Linked DNA regions of Notamacropus eugenii. The protein of the gene in region 2 binds, or shares a complex with, the protein of the main gene of each other region. Links are inferred from orthologs where the notes say so. Each region holds a gene or a part of one and is shown on either strand. Other genes may lie near its edges. The genes, in order: CALR, CELF1 and CALR3.

Region 1 (3,747 bases), on a different chromosome or scaffold from region 2:
CTAATCCTACTCTAGGAGTCTGTGACAGCAGCTAATCCGAACCTTCATTTTACATATGAGGAAATTAAGTTCCAAAGAGGACAGGGAGTTGCCCAAGGTCACAAGGCTCTAAGTACACCTGGGATAGAACTAGCATGGTCATAGAGTCAGGGATTTTCCAATCCAGACAATTTTTGTTTCAATTTCACCTTGTTACTTTCTGTGTGGTGGTCTTGAAACAAGTGCTTTGCTTCCTGTATATATTTCCTTATACGAAAAATGAGATTCCTTCCATTTGAACTGAGGTCATCTGACTCTGTCTGAAATTCTATGCACCCTACTAAGTTTTGTCCTGTCCTGCCACAGTCACATTAGACAATCACTCCTCAGACTCTTCCCAAGAATCAATCTTCACACTGAGAGCCTGGTGTAAATTCTAGTTAAACCTGAGTCTGAAAGCCAAATGACAGGACCGAGGTCACCCAGGTGGGGCTTGACCTCATACTTCTGAGCAGCACCCTTGTGGTCAGTTATGGTGGTTCTGTCCCTTTGTCCACCCAGGATCTGACCTGGCACCGTTTACGCTTGTGGGTGGATGAAACCTTTGGGGCTTGCAGCAGGGCTGGGGACGGTGCTTCCAGCTTGGGAGGTTGAGATAGGACCCCAAGGGTCATGTGGATGCTGCTACAGGGAAGGTCCCTGGGGAAGTACTGCTGGCCAGCGGGGTTGAAGACTGAGGCTGGGACCCCACGGGGGAGGCGGGGGAAAGGGGGGGTCCTGGCACAAGGAGGGCATCTTTCCTGAGCCGAAGGATTGCTGGAAGCTCCGGAGAGGGGCCTGGGGTTGGGGGAGTCGGGAGTTATCCACTTCTCTTAGGCCCCGACCTTTAAGAAACGGTGAATAAGGGGAGTAAACTGCAGACAGGAGATTTGGGGGGAAAGGGTGGGAAGAGTCTGGCCAGCTTATCACGTGATTCGAACCGGGTCCCTGCTTCCCTCCCCCTTCTGGAAGTGCTGTAGGCGTCCCCCCCACAACGCGTGGTCGTTCCTCATTGGCTCGTGGCTACGGCCAATAGAAAGCGGCCATCTGGGAACCCAGCGTTCCGAGGTGCAGCCTAAAGTGCTGCGCCGGCTCGGGGCCAATCGGGAGGGGCCTTGCGGGTCCCGCAGCCAATGGACATGCTGAGGGGGCGGGAACACGGGCTGGGCGGTGTTGGTTTGAGGGGGGCCGGGTATAAAGGCGGTCGGTGGTCGGCGGCGGCTGTCCCTACTGCAGAGCCGGAGTAGTGCTGTCGTCTGCGGATTCTGTGTCCGTACCCGATCCCCGCCGCCCCTACCTGACCCTTCCCGTCATGCTGCCTCTCCTGCTTCTGGGCCTGCTAGGCCTGGCGGAGGCCGCTGAGCCTGTGGTCTATTTCAAGGAGCAGTTCCTCGACGGAGGTAAACGAGGGGCGCCCGGGCCTGCGGTCCCGCCCCGTCCGGGGCTCCCCGGGCCCTCCCGAGCGCCTAGCCCGCCTAGAGTGCCTCCTGCTGGGGTGGGGGGACGTTGGAGGGGCCGCGCGCACCCGCTCCAGCCGCTGCTGTCCCGGGGGGAGGGGAGGGGGTCGTGCCCGGGTCCCTCTTGTCATCCTAGCGGCGTGGGAGGCGCTACGGCCGCCGGGAGTCCGCTCCCCTTGGGACAGCGCTGCCTCCCCGGTGTGGTGGCTACAGCCCTCCCCGGGGGCCCCTCTTCCTCCATTAGCCTCAAGGGTGTCCAACATTGGGTCCCCGGGACCTTTGTCCCTCCTGCAGCCGACCACGGGCTTGCCCTCTCCCTCGACCCTTTCCCCAGCCTGTTCTAAGCCTGATACTTGGGGGTGGGGGAGGGGAAATGAGGGGCAGAGAGGGTCCACTGGGCAGAGACCCCCGGGGCCCGGTCTGAAGCTTGGAACCTTTCACCCTCTCTTTGCTTCTGATATCGTCAGTGCCCCCGGAAACCTGGGGTGGAGGTGAGGGGGCGGGGTTGGTTCCTGGAGAGTTAAAACATGCCCTTATGAATGCATAAAGCGAGGTGCCAGGCAAATCACTTAATTTCTGAGTCTTTGCTTTCATTCACTGTAAAATGAAGAGGCTGGACCAGAAGGCCCCCGGGTGGCATTTCAGCCCTAAATCCTGCCTCCGTGCTTTGCTGACCTTGTATAAACCCTTTTCTTTTTTGGGAGAGGGTCAATTTCCCCATTCACAAAACGAAAGGGTTTAGATTGGGTGTCCTTTAAAAGGTCCTTTTCCATCTCGAACATTTTGGTAGCCCGAGACTGTGTTGTTTAGTTGGAGATGGTTTCTGGAGGGGCCTTTCCTTAGCAGCTGGTACCTAGAATGAGTGAGTCCCTTGGAAAGCTAGGTTTTGATGGACAGGGATAGAAAGATGATCACAGACTCTTCTCACATGTTGTACTTCCCCAGTGTTGGGGAACATGAGGACACTAACCCCCTTCTCTCCTCAGAGGGTTGGGAAGATCGTTGGGTGGAATCCAAGCACAAGAGTGACTATGGCAAGTTTAGGCTCTCGTCCGGGAAGTTCTACGGTGATGAAGAGAAGGACAAAGGTGAGGGGCTGCCTCCTGCCAGAGATGTGATATTGGAGAAGTACTTTTCATTTAGGCCTCGATTTCCTCATCCATAAAGAGGGAAAGGGTTAGGTTTAAATCTCCCTACCAACTCTGAAATTTCCTCTGATTCCATTGAGGCTGTATCCATGCAAGGGGGTTGGTCAGGATTGAATTGGACCTGGGACAGAAGACTCAGTGTGAGTGGCTGCTGGTAGGGAAGAACCGTGAGTGATGAGGCAGGATACCCCTTACTTACCTTGGGGACAACTTTCTCACCATGCCTGTAGGGCTGCAGACAAGCCAGGATGCCCGCTTCTATGCTCTGTCCTCACGCATGGAGCCCTTCAGCAACAAGGGCCAGACGCTGGTGGTGCAGTTCACTGTGAAACATGAGCAGAACATTGACTGTGGTGGTGGTTATGTGAAGCTGTTCCCTGCTAGCCTAGACCAGGCTAGCATGCATGGAGACTCAGAGTACAACATCATGTTTGGTAAGTGTCCATAGGACTGGCTGTTGTCCCTTCCTTCTGTGGTTCTGGGAGTCCCTAAAATGAGAGTCTGAGATTGACCATCTCATCAGTGGGAAACTAAGGATTGAGGAAGGAAGGTGACTTGACCCTAGGGTCCTTCCTTCCCACTTGCCCTTCATAGTGGCTTTGGGGAACTGGGAGACAGGAGTCCTGGATTCTTTGATCAGTTTCCCCATTCCTTCTTCAGGCCCTGACATATGCGGCCCAGGAACCAAGAAGGTTCATGTTATCTTTAACTACAAAGGCAAGAACATGCTGATCAATAAGGACATTCGATGCAAGGTAAACTACCTAACAGATGGTGAGGCAGAGGGAAGGGTCCAAGACCTGTGAGACCTTGGTTCCTTCATAACTGTTGTCCTCCCATAGGATGATGAGTTCACCCACCTGTACACCCTGATTGTTCGGCCAGACAACACATATGAAGTGAAGATAGACAATGTTCAAGTAGAATCAGGCTCGATGGAAGATGACTGGGACTTCCTGCCTCCGAAGAAAATCAAAGATCCTGAGGCCAAGAAGCCTGAGGACTGGGATGAGCGAGCCAAGATTGATGACCCCACAGACACAAAGCCAGATGTAGGTTGCTTGCATTTGGGAATTCTTCATGGCTAATCCCTGTCCAGTGACCATCCATCCTTTCCCATTCCC
Region 2 (3,747 bases):
GTGTATGTGATGGTGTACACTATATTACACGGAATCATAGTACACTGCACACGCTAAACATCCAAGGTCTGTGTTCTCAAACGGACAAAGTACTAACATTTCTGGGATACTGAATTAGAACAATGGAGTCTTGGGAGCTTTTCTTGATTTTCCATGACAGCACCATTTTTACCCCAAACTTAGCGCTCAGATAGACAAATAGAGAGCCAAGATGTCAACTGCATGAAGCTACAGGGAACATTCTTGACAACTTTGTCACGATATCTTTGGAGCTGCTTGTGAGCCTGCTTTTTGGGACTGAGCTCAGGAGCTCATCCTACTTGCTAAAACCACTCTAAGTCTTCCTGACAGAATGGATGATCTCTCTCTTCTCACCCCTGGGAGGATCTTCATATTGTGAAGAGCGTTCTGTGCTTCTAGTGCAGCTTTCCGGGTGTAAAATGTAACAAAACAGCACCCTGTAATCACAAACAAATGACAAATATTACTCTTGTGTAAGAAAGCAATTTTTAGAGAACTTGGCTTCCAGAGAGAAACACATACTGTGAGGACTCTTGCAAGGAGTACTGCTTTGCCAGTACATGCAAGATGGAGAAAAGAAAGAAATAATTCAAATAATTCATTCAGTAATGCACTGGGTGTAGAAATGTGCTTTACCCATAGCTGTCACACAGGAAGTATATGGGTAATGGGTGTATTCAGAAAGCTTCGTGGCCCTGCTCTCCTCACTGCCCAACTGGCACTCCCACAAAGAATGATTTCTCTGCCCTGTCCCCTCTGGATTTCCCTTAATCTCCTCCTGCTTTCTGCCCCTGCCTTTGGGCACATCCCACTGCAAGGAGGAGACTTTCCCCCCAAGACATGCCTGTTTCACCTAGTTCAGTCCCTCTGTTTCTTCAAGGCCCAGCTTTGGTACCACCTCCTAGCTTTCTCAAATTTCTCCAGCTAAAAATGATCCCTCTTCCTCTCAAACCACTCTCTGACTCTACATCCCAGCTCATACTAGTGTTCTTGTCTCATCACCCTTATTAGACTTCAGTTCCTTGAAGGTATGGCCTGTGTCCTTTCTATTTGGGGGTGGTGGCTGAGGCAGAATATGAATAACCATAATGAAATGTCCATGTTTTAAGGCATAAAGGACAAAACCACACAATTTAGAACTAGATGGGATCTCAGTAGCCATCTCGTCCAAATATTACCTGAAAGGAATTCCTACTGTGACACACTGGACAAATGGTCATTCAAACTCTATCTGAACACCTCTCAAGGTCACCCATTCCACTCTTGGGTAACTTCAATTATTGGCAAGGTTTTCAGGATATCAAACCTAAACTTTCTTCTCTAGGAACTCTACATATAGTTCATGCTATTATAAACACAGGGAATCTGAGGCCCACTGACTAGCCAGAACTCCACAAATAATAAATGATCAGGGACTGCCTTCAAGGACGGAGGAGTCTGCACTACGCCATGCTCCCTCACCGTGTATCTACAATGCCAAGCACTGTGCCCTTGCTTATTTATGAAATGTCTTCTGAAGTGAAAGGAGTATCAGACATCATCCTCATTCCTATCATCCCCAAGTACTTAGTCCTTAAGTGACTTTTTATTTTCTTCCAAGTCAAAAACTCTTAAGTACTTCCTTCATACCAGGTACTGAACCAAGTCAAGTTTAGCTAAAAGGGAAGCCTTCTTTCTTAAGTGAAAAAGCAACTGAGCAGAGAGAAAACATAAATCTAAGATCAACTGATCAACAGATCATCGTAGGATCACGTGCGACAGGAAGGAGACATGGAAAATTGAAGGTTTTCTCATCAGGGAGACAGAACCCAAGTGCTCACCTTTGCTCTGGGGAGGATTCTGGCTCCTATCCCTCAGGACGTTGATTTCGTAGACAGCACCGTACTGTTCAAAGAGTTCCCTCAGATCTTTCTCAGACCAGCTCCTAGGAACCTGACCCACAAACATCTTGATGGCATCGAGGTCAGGTTGGTCCGGGTGATCCAGTGTTCCATTCATTTTCTTTGAGCTGCACGGGATAAAAAGAAGCCTCTATCACAAGGTCCAGTCACACACAACTCGAAGGTTTTTCTTCTAAGCGACCACAGCACCACAGTGCCTCTTTACGAACTCCATCAAGTACATTCCAGCACCTTAGATGTACACTTACATACATCAGAAAACTGGAAGAACAGGGTATGTGGAGAGACACAAGGAACCAGGAAGGCTCCTCCTGCTTACACTGAGCACATCCCCAAGAGCTAAGTCAATCAGTCAAACAACAAGCATTTATTAATCACTACTATGGATGTGCCAGGCACAGGGCTAGAAGCCGGGCACACAAAGACCAAGACAAAAGACAAACACATACATGAACGAAGCAGTCCCTGCTCTCAAGGAGCTTACATCAAGAGGCAAAGGAGCTCTTGTCACTTGGACATGGAACAACGGAATAAACGTTGCCAAGAGGCCTGAAGCGCTACCCCCCTCATCCTCCGCTCCCCCCACAGGGAAAGGAAAGTCTACTTGATAAGCATGTTCTTTTCTTTTGGAGCCTCCGGGCAATCTGCTCCTTGGCTGTCCCTCCCACCATGGCTTCCCCTTCTGTCGGCTCCCGCAGTGAAGTCACCATTCTGTGTTGAGGACAGCATTGTCTGTTGCCACGGGAATGATAATGCTCTTCTTGAGCATGAGAATTTCATAGCAGAATCAGAGGCAACGCCTACTCCAAAGATGACCACTTCTAAACAAACTTCCAAAGTGTTTAATTAATGGAATGAAAAGACCATAAGAACAAGAGTAACTGACTTGCATAAAGGAAAACTTTTAAAGCTCTGGACCAAAGACAAGTTCTTAATTTCCTAGACCAAAGTTCAGAAGGCACAAGTAAAATATCGACAAAAGTGATTCATAATAATTCCAATAATCCTGAGTCCAAGGCTCACATAGCAAAGTTAGGTTTTGAAGGAAAAAAATGTAAAAATGATTATCATTGTAATTTAGGGCAAAAAGGGAACTCAGGTCACTTAGTTAAACCTCCTCATCTTCCACACTGGTAAACTCAAGGTGAAGACAATGACCAGGCTAGTCCAGTGCCACAGAGGAAGGGAGGGGCAGGGCTGGGACCAAATCCCACCAGATCCTTTGACTCCAACTTGCCACTAAAATCCAAGCACAGGCACTAGATGTAAACTTCAGACATTGTACTCTCTGAAATACAATGTTCCTTCTCTCCCATTACATTCGGCAGATGCATTCATTTTCCTGTCTCTCAGTTACCTTGAGACTCAGTATCCCCACTTGGTTTTGTCATGCTATTCAACCTAGCTCCATACTAATGAATGCCATTTCACCAAACTCAAACCCCACCAGGACTCTTGGAAATCCTCTTGAGAGAATTACAGGGCAACAACACTCATCACATTTTTACTCTTCTGTTTGCCTTTCCCCTTTATCAATCTTTCAGGCTGTTTTTCTTTTCATTTCCTTTATAGCCAATTAAATTCCAAATCACTTCTTCTACCAACTCCTCAAACTTGCCTAAGATTTTCACCAATCTGTGACAGTTTGCTCTCTCCCTCCATCTTTAACCATGCTCTATAATCCTTCTCACATTAAACAATTTTTTTTTTTTTGCTCTTCCAATCATCTCTCCTGTCTTGTTTCCTTTGAATTTCAAGATTCGTTACTTCTAACTGCCTTTTTTTCAGTCTAAGACTAACTAGGAAACATTGAGCACATTAATTA
Region 3 (3,747 bases), on a different chromosome or scaffold from region 2:
CAGGTCCCCTGACTCCAGGTCCAGTGCTCTATCCACTTAGTTGTCCGTCCAGCTCATTTTATAGATAAAGAAACTGAGGCAAACAGGGTGAAGTGACTTGCCCAGAGTCACACAATTAAGAGTCTGACACCAGATTTGAACTCAGGAAGATGAGTCTTCTGGATTCCAGGTCTGGCACTCTATCCACTGTGACACGTAGCTAACCTAGTTAATGGATTAGGGAGACATAAAAGATTGCCTTACTGAGTGAGGGTCCAGTTGAGATTATGCAAGATAAATTTATAGGAAACCCAGGCAACATGTGATTTTCTCCAGCTTTGCTCCATCAGATTGTGAGGGTAATTCAAGGTTGGAGTCAAGCATGATTGTCATAGTTGGCAACAGGAAAAGGGGGCAAGTGACTAACTGGATGGGGATAGCATAGACTTGTACTATCCACCAATGGATGAAGAAAAAGAATGAAGGAGATTAAAGGTAAACTTCTTGGGGGCAGGGGTAATTTTGTTTATGTCTTTGTATCCCCAGCACAATTTCTTGTTACATGGGAAGTGCTTGTGAAGTCCACAATAAAGATTGTGGACAAGGCTCCAAATATCTTGTGATCTCCTAACTCATCTTTGTCAGCTCACTGTTGACAGAACCCAGTCACCAAATGGTCAGAATAAGAGTTGGAATTTTAAATCAAAGGCTTACTACTAACCTTTATCTTTCTGTATATCACCATAAAATTTTCCTGATGATAGCCTAAAGTGCCCAAAGTTGGAGTCATTGGCAGAAGGTATCCATCTATTTCTCCAACTTTCTGTTTAAGAAGAAAAAGAAAGAGTAAGGCAAATCAGGAACAAACATCCTAAGTCAGGCATTAAGGTTACAGCTGAGAAGACTTTTTAAAGGTGGAAAGGGTCAAGTATTCTCAGGATTTAATGATTATGACTCATAATCTACCTTGTAAGGGTGATTTCTTCGACAAATTTCCAGGGACAAACCCTGATTCATTTTTCGAAGGCAAACCTTTGATGACATGACTGGGATCCCATTTCCTTTCTGAGATCAGAGAACAGTCTTTAAACATTATCCTATTTAAATTGTACCTGAATAGGATGACCCAGCTTCAGCTTAAAAATCTCTTTAGAAGGATAGCCCATTATCTCCGAAGGCAGCCCATTCCAGCTCTAGCTGGTATGAAGGTTTTCCTTATATCTAGTGGAAATCTGCCTTTCTCCCACTTCTACCTATTCCTCCAAAGATACCAGGCTCACTGGTGCGATGGAGGAAACGTTCCACTGGGATGGGAGGATCCAGCACTTAGAGCAACCCTAAATCACGTGACCTCTCTGGGCCTCAGGTAGGGGGGGGTTTGACCTAGAGGGCTGCTAAGGTCACATGACAGCAACCCTCCCAGTCTTGACACTTGGCCACATTTTTTTACAGCTATGTGCTGGGGGTACAAGGCCGGAGGATTCTGAGCTTCAAAGGCGCGAGCTCCGGCATCTTAACCAGGGTCATCTGGCTGGTATATATTGGGGGGCAGGCCGTCCTGGTTCCAGGCCTGGCTGCGTCCGTTGGCCATGGCCCCGGTGACCCAAGGGATGGTTTCTCTCCCGCCGAGCCCAGGTCCCCGTCTCATTTCACCTCCATCAAGGAACTCTTCTTGGAAGTACACAGTGGTCAGAGCCGTCCGCACCAGACACAAGGCCCACAGAGGCCCAGCGGCCACGGGCCGACCCATGGCCGCTCGAAGGTAGTTTTTCTTTTCCCGCTCTCCGTCCGGGCGCGCCCTCTGATTGGCTCCACCGATGCTGCACGCTGCGTCCAGGGGCAGAAAAGGAAACGAACTTCGATTCCCATCGTGCTTTGCTGAGCGGCTGAACCCTGGCGCTCCAACTGCCCATAGGGCGATGCATGCTGGGAAATGTAGTTTCTCCCCGTCGGACCCCCTCCCCCCCGCGGCGCGAGGCCGGAAGTCCAATTCTGTTGCCAAGAGAGACCGTTAAAGAATACGGGGCCCTCCGGCCCTTGGCCGGGGGAATTGGTGTACGGAGGCCTTCGAGGAGGCGAACCCAAGGAAGAGGTCGGTGAGCAGCGCGAGGAGGGAGGGGTGGGAGGGGCCTAGGGTGGGGATGGCGGCGGGGGAAGATTTGACGTTCGGACGTAGGGAAGTTGAGGAGCTCCAGAAGCCCGGGGGCCTGCGGGTGGGGAGGGAGAAGCGGGGGGGGGGGGGGTGGGGGGGGGGTTGTCTCGGGCTCCGGGGAGGCGGGGGGGGGCAGAAGGAGGAGGAAGAGGAGGTCGGGCGCTGGGTTCTAGGCTGACCTCTGACCCCAGCCTCGATTAGCCTCTTGGGGTGGGGAGTGGGGTGAGAGAGACGAGACCCGGGGGTCTTAGTGGACTGCCAGCTCGAGATGCGTCCACGGCAAGACGCGGCCTCCCCGCGCGCTGGTGTCTGAGGCCTTGGACGGAATCGATGCCTGTGGAATGATGAACGAATGAATGACCGGGAGCTGGTCATGACCGCTGCCCCCGCCGTGGTGGTGTCGTAGTAAATGTCTGGGTGCCAGGGTCCGAGAAGGCCGTGTACAAGTGGACGAGCGCCCCGAGCCGGGCAGCCAGCAGAGCGAACGGAGCTCTGAAGGGGCCGTGGCATGCCTGGTCGCAGGAACTGGTGCCAGGGTGGGTGGAGCACAGGACTGGGAGTTAGGAAGACCTGAATTCGAATGTGGCCCCAGACTCTTCATTACCTTGTGAGATCTTGGGCGAGTCATTTCATAGCTTTTGGCCGCGGTTTTCTTATGTCAAATGGGGGTGATGATGGCACCCACTTCATAGGGTGGTTGTGAGCATCTGGTAATGTATTATAAAGGGCTTTTCAAATCTTAAGGTATTGAATTATCTTTTGTCTTTCTTTGTATATCTAGCTTTCAGCACAGTGCCAGGTACTTCCTACCTGTTTAATAAATATGTATTGATTGACATGTGTAGCCTGGGGAAGAGAAGACTCATCCGGAACATGGTTGATAGCTGTTTTTGAGTATTTGAAGGGCTGTCATGTTTAAGAGGAAGTTAAAGCTTTGGCCTTAAAAGGACAGAATTATGAAGAAATGGATGAAAGTTTGAGAGACACAGGTCTAGGCTTAATGTAAGATGGAACTTCTTAACAATAAATATCGTAAAATATGCTTCTTAGGATGTAGTAGAATTGAGATACAATGTGGTCAAAAGTGTTGGATTCTGAGTCAAGAGACTTTTGTTTGCATTTTGCTCCACAATATTTGGGGCTAGTTGACCTGAGACAAAGATTGCTTCCATCTATCCACATCTCAGTATTTCCATATGTAAAATAAGAAGAATATTTGCATTATCCGCTTTAAAGGAATTTTATGAGAAAAGTACTTTGTTCTTTCACTGTAGGTCCAAGGCTGGCTTGAAATGTTTGTTGCAACCATTTTAAGGGGCATTTCTATACAGGTACGAATCACAGAAATTCAGGGTTGGAAGGGCCCTCAGAAGCCATCTAGTCTAACCAATACCACAGAACAGTCCTCACCCCATTACACCAGCCAACAGATGGTCATCCAGCCTTTTCTTGAATATCTTCAATATGGAGGAAGGACAACACTCTCATTTTTTAAGAAGTATTTCTTGACAGCAATTCCTAAACTGACTTCTCTGCAACTTTGACCTTGTTCTATTTTTTCTAATTTCTTTGATGGAATGAACAAATCCGATCCCTCTTCCAAATGGCAGTTGTCC

The links.
Region 1: CELF1 (region 2) and CALR share a complex: the UniProt entries of both Homo sapiens proteins name them as parts of the EIF2 complex. The link is inferred for Notamacropus eugenii from reciprocal best matches to the Homo sapiens genes CELF1 and CALR.
Region 3: CELF1 (region 2) and CALR3 share a complex: the UniProt entries of both Homo sapiens proteins name them as parts of the EIF2 complex. The link is inferred for Notamacropus eugenii from reciprocal best matches to the Homo sapiens genes CELF1 and CALR3.

What each region holds. Positions count from the first base shown.
Region 1 is NC_092875.1:77,932,654-77,936,400, reverse strand, and holds the start of CALR (calreticulin), read left to right. Parts: upstream 1-1,162; 5' UTR 1,163-1,330; coding exon 1,331-1,418; intron 1,419-2,461; coding exon 2,462-2,563; intron 2,564-2,853; coding exon 2,854-3,057; intron 3,058-3,283; coding exon 3,284-3,378; intron 3,379-3,465; coding exon 3,466-3,675; intron 3,676-3,747. UniProt on the Homo sapiens protein: Calcium-binding chaperone that promotes folding, oligomeric assembly and quality control in the endoplasmic reticulum (ER) via the calreticulin/calnexin cycle.
Region 2 is NC_092877.1:3,521,301-3,525,047, reverse strand, and holds the start of CELF1 (CUGBP Elav-like family member 1), read right to left. Parts: upstream 2,718-3,747; 5' UTR 2,703-2,717; coding exon 2,527-2,702; exon of another isoform or gene 2,372-2,526; intron 2,030-2,371; coding exon 1,842-2,029; intron 459-1,841; coding exon 376-458; intron 1-375. UniProt on the Homo sapiens protein: RNA-binding protein implicated in the regulation of several post-transcriptional events. Involved in pre-mRNA alternative splicing, mRNA translation and stability.
Region 3 is NC_092875.1:59,663,348-59,667,094, forward strand, and holds the start of CALR3 (calreticulin-3), read right to left. Parts: upstream 2,642-3,747; coding exon 2,311-2,641; intron 2,076-2,310; coding exon of another isoform or gene 1,903-2,075; exon of another isoform or gene 1,857-1,902; intron 1,807-1,856; coding exon 1,633-1,806; intron 803-1,632; coding exon 701-802; intron 1-700. Other genes in the region: C4H19orf44 (uncharacterized protein C19orf44 homolog), read left to right, coding at 1,903-2,075. UniProt on the Homo sapiens protein: During spermatogenesis, may act as a lectin-independent chaperone for specific client proteins such as ADAM3. Required for sperm fertility. CALR3 capacity for calcium-binding may be absent or much lower than that of CALR.